Linked DNA regions of Canis lupus familiaris. The protein of the gene in region 1 purifies or fractionates together with the protein of each later gene. This does not show direct contact. Links are inferred from orthologs where the notes say so. Each region holds a gene or a part of one and is shown on either strand. Other genes may lie near its edges.

The links.
Region 2: the proteins of ZEB1 (region 1) and EP300 purify together in Homo sapiens (affinity purification with western blotting; 5 studies listed by BioGRID, with this or other methods). This does not show direct contact. The link is inferred for Canis lupus familiaris from reciprocal best matches to the Homo sapiens genes ZEB1 and EP300.

The regions. Positions count from the first base shown.
Region 1 is NC_049223.1:13,318,297-13,323,933, forward strand, and holds the start of ZEB1 (zinc finger E-box-binding homeobox 1), read right to left. Parts: upstream 3,808-5,637; 5' UTR 3,749-3,807; coding exon 3,691-3,748; intron 3,468-3,690; exon of another isoform or gene 3,272-3,467; intron 2,511-3,271; exon of another isoform or gene 2,312-2,510; intron 1-2,311. UniProt on the Homo sapiens protein: Acts as a transcriptional repressor. Inhibits interleukin-2 (IL-2) gene expression. Enhances or represses the promoter activity of the ATP1A1 gene depending on the quantity of cDNA and on the cell type.
Region 2 is NC_049231.1:25,040,591-25,045,697, forward strand, and holds part of EP300 (histone acetyltransferase p300), read right to left. Parts: intron 4,359-5,107; exon of another isoform or gene 4,257-4,358; intron 4,086-4,256; coding exon 3,935-4,085; intron 3,817-3,934; coding exon 3,670-3,816; intron 3,116-3,669; coding exon 3,002-3,115; intron 2,259-3,001; coding exon 2,093-2,258; intron 1,332-2,092; coding exon 1,167-1,331; intron 148-1,166; coding exon 1-147. UniProt on the Homo sapiens protein: Functions as a histone acetyltransferase and regulates transcription via chromatin remodeling. Acetylates all four core histones in nucleosomes. Histone acetylation gives an epigenetic tag for transcriptional activation.

The sequences.
Region 1 (5,637 bases):
ATGTAGAGGTCCCAATCAACAGGAGATAGACTTATGGTGCTGCTACACCAATAATCACTTTTGTTAGCATCCTCTACTGGCGGCTTCCAATGACAGCAAGTGGAAATGGTGCAAATGACAGAAAAATACGTACCTGCTATTCTATCTAAAGTAAATTAATCAGCATGTGGTCATTAGCAGCTAGAGCACATTTCTCTCCCTGCCCCCCATCCCAAATGTATATATACATACATATGAAAACCACACACAGAGTGAAGTGGAAAATTAGAAGACATATTTTTAAAATACAACAAAGCATTACATTACAAATGGTAAAAATCAATTTTACGCAATTCTAATGCCACTCCTTTATAGATAACTAACATCATCACCATAAAGTTACCACCTAAGGTTTGATGCTTGGTCAAACCTTGCTCAACTGGTTTACCCCTGTTAAGTTACATTACTTGATTCTCCTATTAATATCCTACTTCGAAGATATATTCCAGAAGGGAAATTAAAATGTTTTACTGGAGGCTTAGCAGTAAAATCTGCATATCTTATTTTTAAATGAACAAAAAATTATTTACATATAAATAACAACATAAAGTATCCCTGGGACTGTTGCCCACTGTACACATCATTTATTCCCTCATTAAAAAGATTTAAGAGTTAACATCTTTCATGCAATTCTCTCCAAAAAACAACTGCAACTTAAATCTGACTGCGTTGCTAAGAAATATTTAACCAGCACCTATTCTGAGGTTTCACGACACAATGGCATATAACTTCATTTTTAATTTGCAAATTATAAGGTTTAATCAAATAGCATGGCTGTAATCACCGGCAATGGATGAAATGCATTTGAGAACAAAAAGAAATACAAGGACAGAGCCAAAAGTGATGAAAATGGAAGATACCTGTAGTAGTATGGTGCTATCTTAAACACCTTTTGTTTTCTGTGAGTAATGCAGACTGCAGACAAGACATTTTGTGCTAAATAGCCCAAATCTGTTTTTCTAATATTAAACACAAAGGAAAAACACTGACAGCAAGCATGGTAAATAAATCCCTCCCTTGAGAATGAAAGCAGCAGACAGGAGGGGGCTGACATACATGCAGGAGAAAACTAAACACCATCTTTTTTCTACCTGCACAAGTTGCCATTTGCTGCAGCGATCGAGAACCTCTTTTCCTGTTGATTTCAAGTACCTTTCAGGATAGCTTTTTTCCCCCTTAAGTCATCTGTTGATATGCCTTATGAGTGTAATATTCATATCACGGGATCTTTAGGAGAAAAATCCATTCTTTCCTGTTCAGGTAAACATGTTTACAGCAGCTGCACAGACGCTGGGTGGTTCAGACTCACATGTCACACACATGTCGTCAGCAACAAGAAAAGCCCCTTTCTCCGGCGATGAACATTTTAAATAAGGTAAAAAAAAAAAAAAAAAAAAAAAACAAAACCAAAACCAGCAGCCCTTTCCGAACCAACTTACCTTTCATAAAGCCACATCAGCAACAGTGGCAACAGCTCAATATAGCACACTATTTGACGCTAAAACAGGAAATTAAAATTGCAATAGCCTATGCTCCGCTCCTTGCTGTAACAAGTCATCTCTCCACAATGACGATACCAAATATTAGTTATCAGTCATCATTAACAGACGTCTTTAAAATGCAAACGTTTATTTGAAGAACTAAAATCATTCACCAACGCAGTGATTTTAATGTCGGCTCAAATACATCAAAAATATTTTTACGATTGGAAGGAAACATCTTGAAACAGCTTAAAATCTTCGTATCTGCTTCTAGACAGGAAATCCCACACAAAAATCTAAAATTGCCAGGAAAGGTTACAAAACCTCGCGTTTCGCATCCCAGAGCGGAGGGAGGAAAGCAGCCCAGGAGCGGGGGTGGGGTGGGGCGGGGGGAGTGCGAGAGAGTTTGTACTGAAACACGTATTTCCTCATTTTCTGGAAGAAACAGCGATCCCATCATAGGCGCATTAATTTCCCTACAGTTAAAAACTCGTTTAAAAAATCCCGTGGGCAGCCTTAGGAGCCCCCGGGTCCGACATGCGCGTGTAATTCCTTATATAGCCTCGGCGCGGCCAGCGGCGGGCCGGTGCCGCCCATATTATACAAACAGGTACCGGGCGGCGAGGACCTCGCCCGCGCCCCCGCGCCCCGCGCCCCCGCGCCCCCCGGTCTCGCCCCGCTCGCCACAGGAACCGTCCAGACAATACCAGCCAGCAGACATGTCGCTGCCGCACGAGACGGAGGGAAAGCACAGAATCGCCCCGAGATAAGCAGAAATAGAATCAACTTACAACGTCTCCCCAAACTGGACAAGGCGACTGTGCAACAACCACCACATGTTCGGGTCTCGCTCTCTCTTGCCGTCCGTATCGCTGTCTCTCATTTCTTTTTAAGTCCGAAGTCAGGCCGAGGGGTGCGTGCGGCCCCGGCACCGCGGCGCCCATCGATAATCCCCGCAGCCGCAGCGAGGGCAGCGGACCCGCGCGTCCGTCGGTCCGTCCGCCCCTCCCCCACCCTCCTTCCACCCGAGACCGAGCGCCATCCCAGCTCCATTATCCGGCTTCAGCGCTCCGCGCGTCCGGCCCAGGTAACAACTTCCCCAAAAACCGAAAGAGAACAGCGAGGCGTTCGCACGGAGCCCCGTCCCGGCGCGGGGCAGGAGTGTCCCCCGGGGTCGGGGATCTGTCTGTGGTGCTTCCCGGCCCCCAAGACCAGGTAACAAGTCCACAAGCACGCCCGCCGCCATCCACGCGGCTCCCACGGCGGCAAGTAGGTGCCCGCTCGCGCCCCGGCCGCCCCGCCGCCCGCCAGCTCCCCCGCGGGGCTCGGCTCCGGGGGCCGGGCCCGGGCCGGGGACACGGGGGCCGGAGGCGCGGGGAGGAGGGGCGCTTTAGGGACCCGTCCGCCTGCGCGCCTCGCCGGCCGGTCACAACTTTACCGCCGCCGGCCGAACCCCGTCCGCCCGTCTGCCCGTCCGCCCGCCCGTCCGCCCGCCCGCCGCGCGCCCCGCCGGCGCCCGCGCACACGCGCGCACGGACGACACGCAGCCCGCCGCCGCCGCCGCCGCCGCCCGCCGCCCGCCGCCCGCCCTCCGCGCGCCCGCAGCCCGGCCCGGCCCGAGCCGGGGGCCCGAGCGACGCCGCCGGCCGGGGCCGGGCGCGCGGAAGCCACTCTGCAAGGGCAGCACCGGCCACAAGTTTGTTCCGCGGCTCCCGAGGGCCTCCGCGCCGAGGGAGAATAACGCGGAGGGGGCTGAGAGGAGGGGGAGAGGGGAGGCGCCGAGGGGCGAAGAGTGGGGAAAAGTGCGAAAAGAAGCAACAGCCGCTCCACCCGGGACCAGAAAAGTGGCGGCCGCGTCCCGGCCGCCCGCCCTGCGCCGGGGATGCGGCGGCTAACGGTCCAGGCGGCGGCAGGGGCGGCAGGAGCCGCTAGGCGGAGAGAGACCAGGTAAGAGACATAACGGTTCAGGGAGAGCGAGCGGCCGCGGCGCGGCTCCGGCAGCGGCGGCGGCGGAGGGGGGCACAGAGCACTACTTTCTACTTTCCCACTCCACTTTGCCCGTCCCTGCCCCGGCCGCCCCCAGCCCGGCTCGCCCCCCTCGCCCTCGGGGGCGCCCCGGCTGCCCGGCTCCCCCTGACTCCGCCGCTCCCCGGTCCCCTCCGCCACTCACCGTTATTGCGCCGCGGGTTCGCCTGCTTTCTGCGCTTACACCTGGGGCCATCCGCCATGATCCTCTCGCTTGTGTCTAAATGCTCGAGTCACCTCCTCCCCCTCCCTCCCCCTTCCCCCCACCCCTCCGCCTCCACCCCTCCCCCCTCCCCACCGCACCTGGTTTACGACACTCGCGGCTTTACGACATCACCTTCCTAACACCTAGAGCCGCTCGCTCTACGGCCGGAACCTTGTTGCTAGGAGAGGACGGTTTGCGGCGACCGTAGAAGCAGCTGAGTTTGAATGGAGGGGAGAGGGAAAAGTTTCCTTCAGGTGTTGGGGGACCGGGGAGGGAGCGTTGGGAGGCTGTGGGGACGCGGTCAGAAGGGTGGCGGGCGGTCCGAGTGAGAAAGGTAAAGTAGGAGGCTCAGTGGCGCTGCCCCTCCGGACTGGCCACACCCGCCGCGGCCGCCTGAGGTGCGGACGGGTCTGGCTGATCCCTTCAGGACCCGGTCCCCCCGCTCGGTCAAGGCTGGGCTCCGCGCCCACGCAGCGAGTGCTCGCTCAGCGCACGGTGGGGCGCGGGAGCGGGTTGTGCCCCAGGCCCCCGGGTGGTCCCCGGGGGCAGCGGGAGGGCAGGTGCGGGGGGCCCGGCGAGGGCTCGCGGCGTCACGAGGGAGGCTACCGGACCCTGACCCGTACGCGGACTCCCCTCCTTACGCGGACGCTCGGTTCCCCCCCCGAGCGAACCGGGGTGGGAAGGGACTTCGGGCAGATAGAGCTCGAGCTGCACCGAAAGACAGGCGAGCAATTCCGCTTGCCGGCGACAGCGGCGGTAAAGCGGAATGAATAATACGCACCCGGCCGCGGTCTCACTTCCTCCTGCGCTTGGGGCTCTCACCTGCTGTCACCTCGGCCGCCCCCGCCCCGTGCCCTGCCCCCCTCGGAGCGGACGGGGCCAGGATCTGACGGCGAGAAACCGGGGCTGACAGATGTGGCCTCTGAAACGGATGGATTGTTGATCTTATCTCCAGCCCCTGACTTTGTACAAGTTAGAAGATTTCCGAAATACCATAGACGTTAACACTCCAAATCCCGAAAAAGTCAAGTTCTCGGTGTCCGGTAGGATTTAGCTTCCCTTCCTCCCCCCATCCCCCACGTTTTTCCCCGTTCAGATGGGGAAATGTCTTTGGTAGCAGCTTCATGGAACAAAATGAGCTGTATTTCAAGTTGTAAATGAGGCATGTGAAAGTTACTGAGAAAGAGATGGAGGATACTGAAAAGTGACGTACGGCATTACCAGCACGGTGCTGTCACGTAGTAGGTGCTCACTCAACACGTTTACGTCTATGATTTTTGCCATACCTATGGCAAAGATTATGGTGTTAAAATCATCCTTTAAAACTCCAGAATTTTAGAAGATCCATTAATAATCTCTCCAAACCTTTCAACTGAAATAAATTTACATTTGAAGCCTGGTAATTTAAAATTAGAAAGTTTAATCCTGAATATAGATGAAATTCTCCCTTCCACATTTTCTTTGGCATTTTGAGAAGTGAATGCATTATTTATTAGGGCATGAAATGTGACTGTAAATATTCTTTGCTATACATTATGGCCTATACATCTACTCATCCTCAGTGCTGAAACTAGACTCATTACTCTTGACGAGTACATTCAGTCCTCAATTTCCTTAATTATTCCCTGTTAACAAATTGTGTATGTCAGAACCAGAACCATGTCCCTGTTTCGCTTGGTTCGGGTGGTAATTTTTTCCTGCCTTCTAAAAGCTGTACGGTGTTCTTCAGTTGCCTTCTGAATCCAGCAGTTCCCCCACCACCACCACCACCACACAACTCTTTTACAGGTACCCTAATTTCCAGTCCGGGAAAGCAAAACAAAACAACTTTGTACTTAGCACACACTACCTATTCCTGAACTTAGGAACTATTAATCATGTCCTTTT
Region 2 (5,107 bases), on another chromosome or scaffold:
CATGGTGGCATACAGTTTTTGCGAGAGGTCATTGGACACATTGGGCATGCCCGGCTTCTTCTTGTTGCCCCTACTCAGGCTGCTCTTGTTTTTGCTGGTTTTCTTATTATTTTTCTTTTTAGCATTTTTGCTGTCTCCCTTTGTCACCTGCAGGTTAGCAGAGAGGACAAGAAAATGTAAGCATTTTTGTTATGAAGTAATTTGAATAATACTAATGGTAGAAGGGTTCTCCTTTTCTTTGAAACTAGAGATTCTCAGCTTATGACTCTACCAGCTCCTCTTGTCACAGACTCACCTATTTGAGTTGGTATTTATAGCAGACTAATGTTTACTATGGTTTCAGCACTAGTGTTCTTCCAGGGAAGAATCCCTACACTAAGACCCTTCAATAAAACAGCCTTAGCTTTTTGGCTAGAAGAGCCCCACAGTTTGGAGACTCCTCAGATGCATCCATCCTATTCCAGATTTGAGGACAGGGAACAAGGAGTAGAATGGTGGAATATTGAACATTCTAGAATTTTATGGGCCTACTATAAAAAAACAAAGCAATTTGCAGAGACAATCAATGAATTCAAACTACAAGACCGTGAAGAATTTAACAGGCTGCTACTTATGAGAGACTTTCGTTAGGTCAGACTCAACGGAGACCATTGCAGCTATGCTATCAGAAAATTACTAACCAGGAAAAGCTCCTCAGAATGTCCTCCTCACAAAACCTCCTGGCAATCTCTGACCTAGGTGTGTTTTTGTAAGGCCCAGAATGCTCTGTACACTTATAAAGTGGTGTGGTGTTTAAAAAAAAAAAAGCCCCAATTATTCACAATCTGAATCTTTATGGAAAGTACTTTTGCCAGCCTCCTGCTCTATGTAGCTAATTTTCTATCAGTTTTTCAGGGTTTCCTTCTGTTTTCCATTATCAGAAATCCAAGGTTTCAGTTAAAATGAGGTCTGATGCTAAAAAGGTTGAAAACCACTGAAACAGAATTATTTCTTGACCAATTTAAAGAGCTCTTTCCAAAAATAAATAAATAAATAATTGATTAATTAAAAAAAATAAAGCTCTTTCACGCCGAAAGCTTTAAGACCAAGTCAAAAGTTGAAGCCTGATGGCGGATTATACTCGAGAATCAAGGTGGAAGCTGGGAAGGAAAATGCAAAGCCCTCACATCTGTGCTCTCGTTGCTGGTGTTTTCTTCTCGCTTTCGCTCTTCTTCCTCCTGTTCTAGCTCCTTAATGCTCTCTTCCAGAACGTTGGGCCAGAAATCACCCTCAAAGTAAGGCAACTCCTTTGCACTTGTTAATCGATCTTCAGTAGCTTGTTTAAAAATATCCTGTGAAAATACCAGGTACAAGTAGGAATTTGGTTTTTTTTTTTTTTTAAAGAAGCATTTATCATTCAGAAGCAGTCACAGCTAGCAGACACAAGAAACCTGAAGGATTATAATGTCTTCTGAAAGAAAGGCAGCAGAGAGATTTATACCTAAGCCCCATGGCCCAGGGGGACATTTAGTCTTAAACAGTAAAAACTCAAGGTCTGAGGTCAGTGGTTCTGGTTCTGTCTTTCCTCTGCCTGTGAGGATAGGGAAGTTACCTGCCTTTATAAAGCCAAGTGGGACATCTTCCTGCGAGGACTGATGGCTCAGGCCCCATCAATCACGCCGCAGCCTTTACTATTGCTGATGACACAATGCAATACAATGTGAGGAATGCCTGCCTTGTTCCCATCACCCATCCCCTGACTGAGAAATATGTTCAAAACAACCCAAACCACAAATACTGGAAACTGCATGGCCACAGGCTGCTCTGCTCTGCTGCCTGGGAAAACATCCAGTTCTTACTTTTCTCCCCAGGAGTAAAAACAGATAAGAAACTTATCTGTTCAAGTTCTTATCATGAGATGCCCTCTAATCATGAATGGCTATTAAGAATACGTTTTTCATCACATCTTTAAAACAGAGATTTGTTGATCTAAGACATTTAAAACTGAGTTTTTCTTGGTTTGAAAAAGGGAGTACAGAAGATTTTTGTTAAGATAGTCAAATAGCAGAATACAGAGCTGCAGGATCAGTCATCGCCCCCCATTCCTCCTGACCTTGTAGTCATGGACGATTCGCTCAGACACAGCCTTGTCAAGCATCTTTTTGTACCACTCCTGTAGTCGCTTGGGCTTGGGTATCTTCTGGTCAGGAGGATGGCAATGGAAGATATAGTCGTCTCCCTCACTTGGGGGACATGCCCAAATATGTCCTGTTGTATATCTAACAACACAAAGAGGGGGAATATTCAAGAGAAAAGTTTATCATCTATTCCAGAAAGAATGCTACAACGTGGAGTCAATATGGAAACCAATGATTTTTTTTCTAAGACAATATCAAGTGTACAACCCAGAATCAGATCGAAATTCTTAGGCCAGATTCAGGCCTAACCTACAGCACTTACAATGGGTGTCACATTGCCTAGTTCTTCTTAGAGGCTAACCCTGGATTCCCAAATCCCAAATTTGCATGTGAAGACAAAAGAAAAGCTACAATGCAAAGGAACATGGATCCATTCCAACAACACGGAACAAGGAATGGAAGAAAGCTAAGTGATAAAAGGAAGAACTTGCAAGGTGCGGTAGTGAATGTTCTCAAGCACACGTATACCCTGAAGGTAAAGAATCAGGCTAATTTGAGTATTTCCAGACCCTAGTCTATTTTGGTTCTGATACCTAGGTATGAGAGGGTCAACTGCAGTTCAAGGTTCTGGCCCTGAATGAGTACCAACCTTCCAATCAAACTGTACCTAACACCTTAACTGAACAAAAGAAAACTAATCTGGGATAAGTATGACTAGGGTCAACATATCCATTTCTGTCCGACTGGCAACACTGAGAAAAGGGAACAAAGTCACCTCTCTGCTTTAATCTAAGTTTCACCACAATACCACAGTGGTAATTAGTTAAAAATTTAATTAGTTTAAGCTCATTGTTTTTAAAGATAGCATTTGTCAATATGCTTACCCTAATTTCTTGACGTATTCTAAATATCCAATTAGAATTTCATGATAGACTGCAGTCCTCAAGCATTTAGGACGGAAGAAATGAACACTGTCAAGGTAGGATATGTAAACTCTCCTGTATCAAGTGGGGAGAAAGAAACCATGTCAAGTCACATAAGGAGTTCTTACTAATATGGCTAAAAACACAATCTCCTCTGTGCTCTTTTTCACCTCATTTATAATACACATCACACAGTCACAGTTAAGTACATGACTAGGCTGTGCACTCTTTAGGAGAGTCTGGTGAGCCTCAGTACCCAGCAGCGCTTGAAGCATAGTGTATTAGTATTTATGGATCCAAGTGTATTCTGGTAGCATTCTTATTCTGGCCTTTATACTATTTTGGAAACAAATTCTAAACCATATCCTAACTTTACTTGTGTGACATTCTTTCACATTATCTCCCAGGCAAGGCACCTAACACAATCAAGAATTAAGCCCATTTTCTGAAAAACAGTCTGCTTCCCACTTCTCATTTCAGGCTGTTTGATACTCCTCCTTATTACTATGAACACAGTTTGCATTTCCATTTCCAAAGCAAGTACATCAAATAGTTCCTTGCCCACAATGCTTTTTGCCTATTGAACTGCAAACTCCCACTCAACTGGAAGGCAGTGGGCCAAGTCCTACCTCTGGTTGGGTGGAGGGCAGTCGGAGCCATACTCCTGAACGTGCATGCCGAAGAAGCACAAGTCAACACCGTCTATCTCTTCAAAGGCAAAGAGGGCTTTGGTTCGGTAAGGAAAAGACTCTGCCATCTCTCCGCTATCTACAAACCTACATAATCCAGATTGGAAAGAAAAACACGAGGTCTCAGTTAAACCAGAATCATCAGCAATTAACTGTCAAGTGCTTGTAGAACCACAAGAGAAGAAAAGGGAAAATTATTGGATACCTTGCTTTCATGCCTGGTTTCACTTCCACAGTTTTATCAGAAGCATGCACTACCCGAACAGTGACTTCTCCCGACTCAGGGTGATTCTGACGTCTAAGAAAATCATTCACACGATTCTCCAGAAAGGTGCCAAGCCTGGTAGATGGCAACCCTAGAAGTGCAGAAGTGAAAAGTTCTGCAGTTAGCCAAGGTGCAAATTCATTATTGTTAACTCTTAAGCTTCAATATCAAATATCATTTTTGTATTCTCCGTCCAAATAGGATAACCTGATTTTGTTAAAAGTTAGCAATGTGATCAATACTTGAAAACCATCGTTTTTTAAAAAATAGGAGCTACTTCATGAATTTGTGTGCCATCCTTACATAGGGGCTATACAAATCTCTGTATCATTCCAATTTTAGTATATGCGCAGCTGAAGCAAACATGGTAGTGAATTTTAGGTGTTTTCCACCCAACTTTTTACTTGGAAAATCTTCTAATTTCAGAAGTCACAAAATACAACATCCACATGCACTTTGGCTTGATTGCAGTGATATTTTAAAATAACAATGGTTGGATATTATGAGAAGCCTTATAGGAATAAAAAGCAATCTGTAGGTCAGTAAAAACTGCAAAGGTATCCACAAAATTAAACCAAATATTATAATGCAATAATCTCGACTGTATACAGGATACAATCTTTTTTTTAAGATTTTTATTTTACCTATTTGACAGAGAGAGAGCTAGAGAACACAAATAGGGAGAAGAGCAGAGGGAAAGGGAGAAGTAGGCTCCCCGCAGAGCAGGGAGCTCCACGCGGGGCTCAATCCCAGGACCCCAGGGATCATGCCCAAGCCGAAGATGCCCAAGCCAAAGGCATCTGCCCAACTGACTGGGCCACCCAGGTGCACCCCAGGATACAATCTTTGACTACCACTACCCCAACCACCCAAGTGAGATAGGTCTGAAAGAGGCCCCAACTAAAAGTTTGGACCAAATTGAGGTAATCACTGATGGGATGGCAATTCTGGACATATTTCCACATGCAGCCCCAATTAGGAATGCCCTAAATATGAAGAAATGTAGGAAAAAGAACACCTATCCTGCACATTTCAAATCCTAATCCTTAAGTAATCTCTACACCTAATGTGGAGCTCAAACTCACAACCCAGAAATCAAGAGTCACAGGCTCT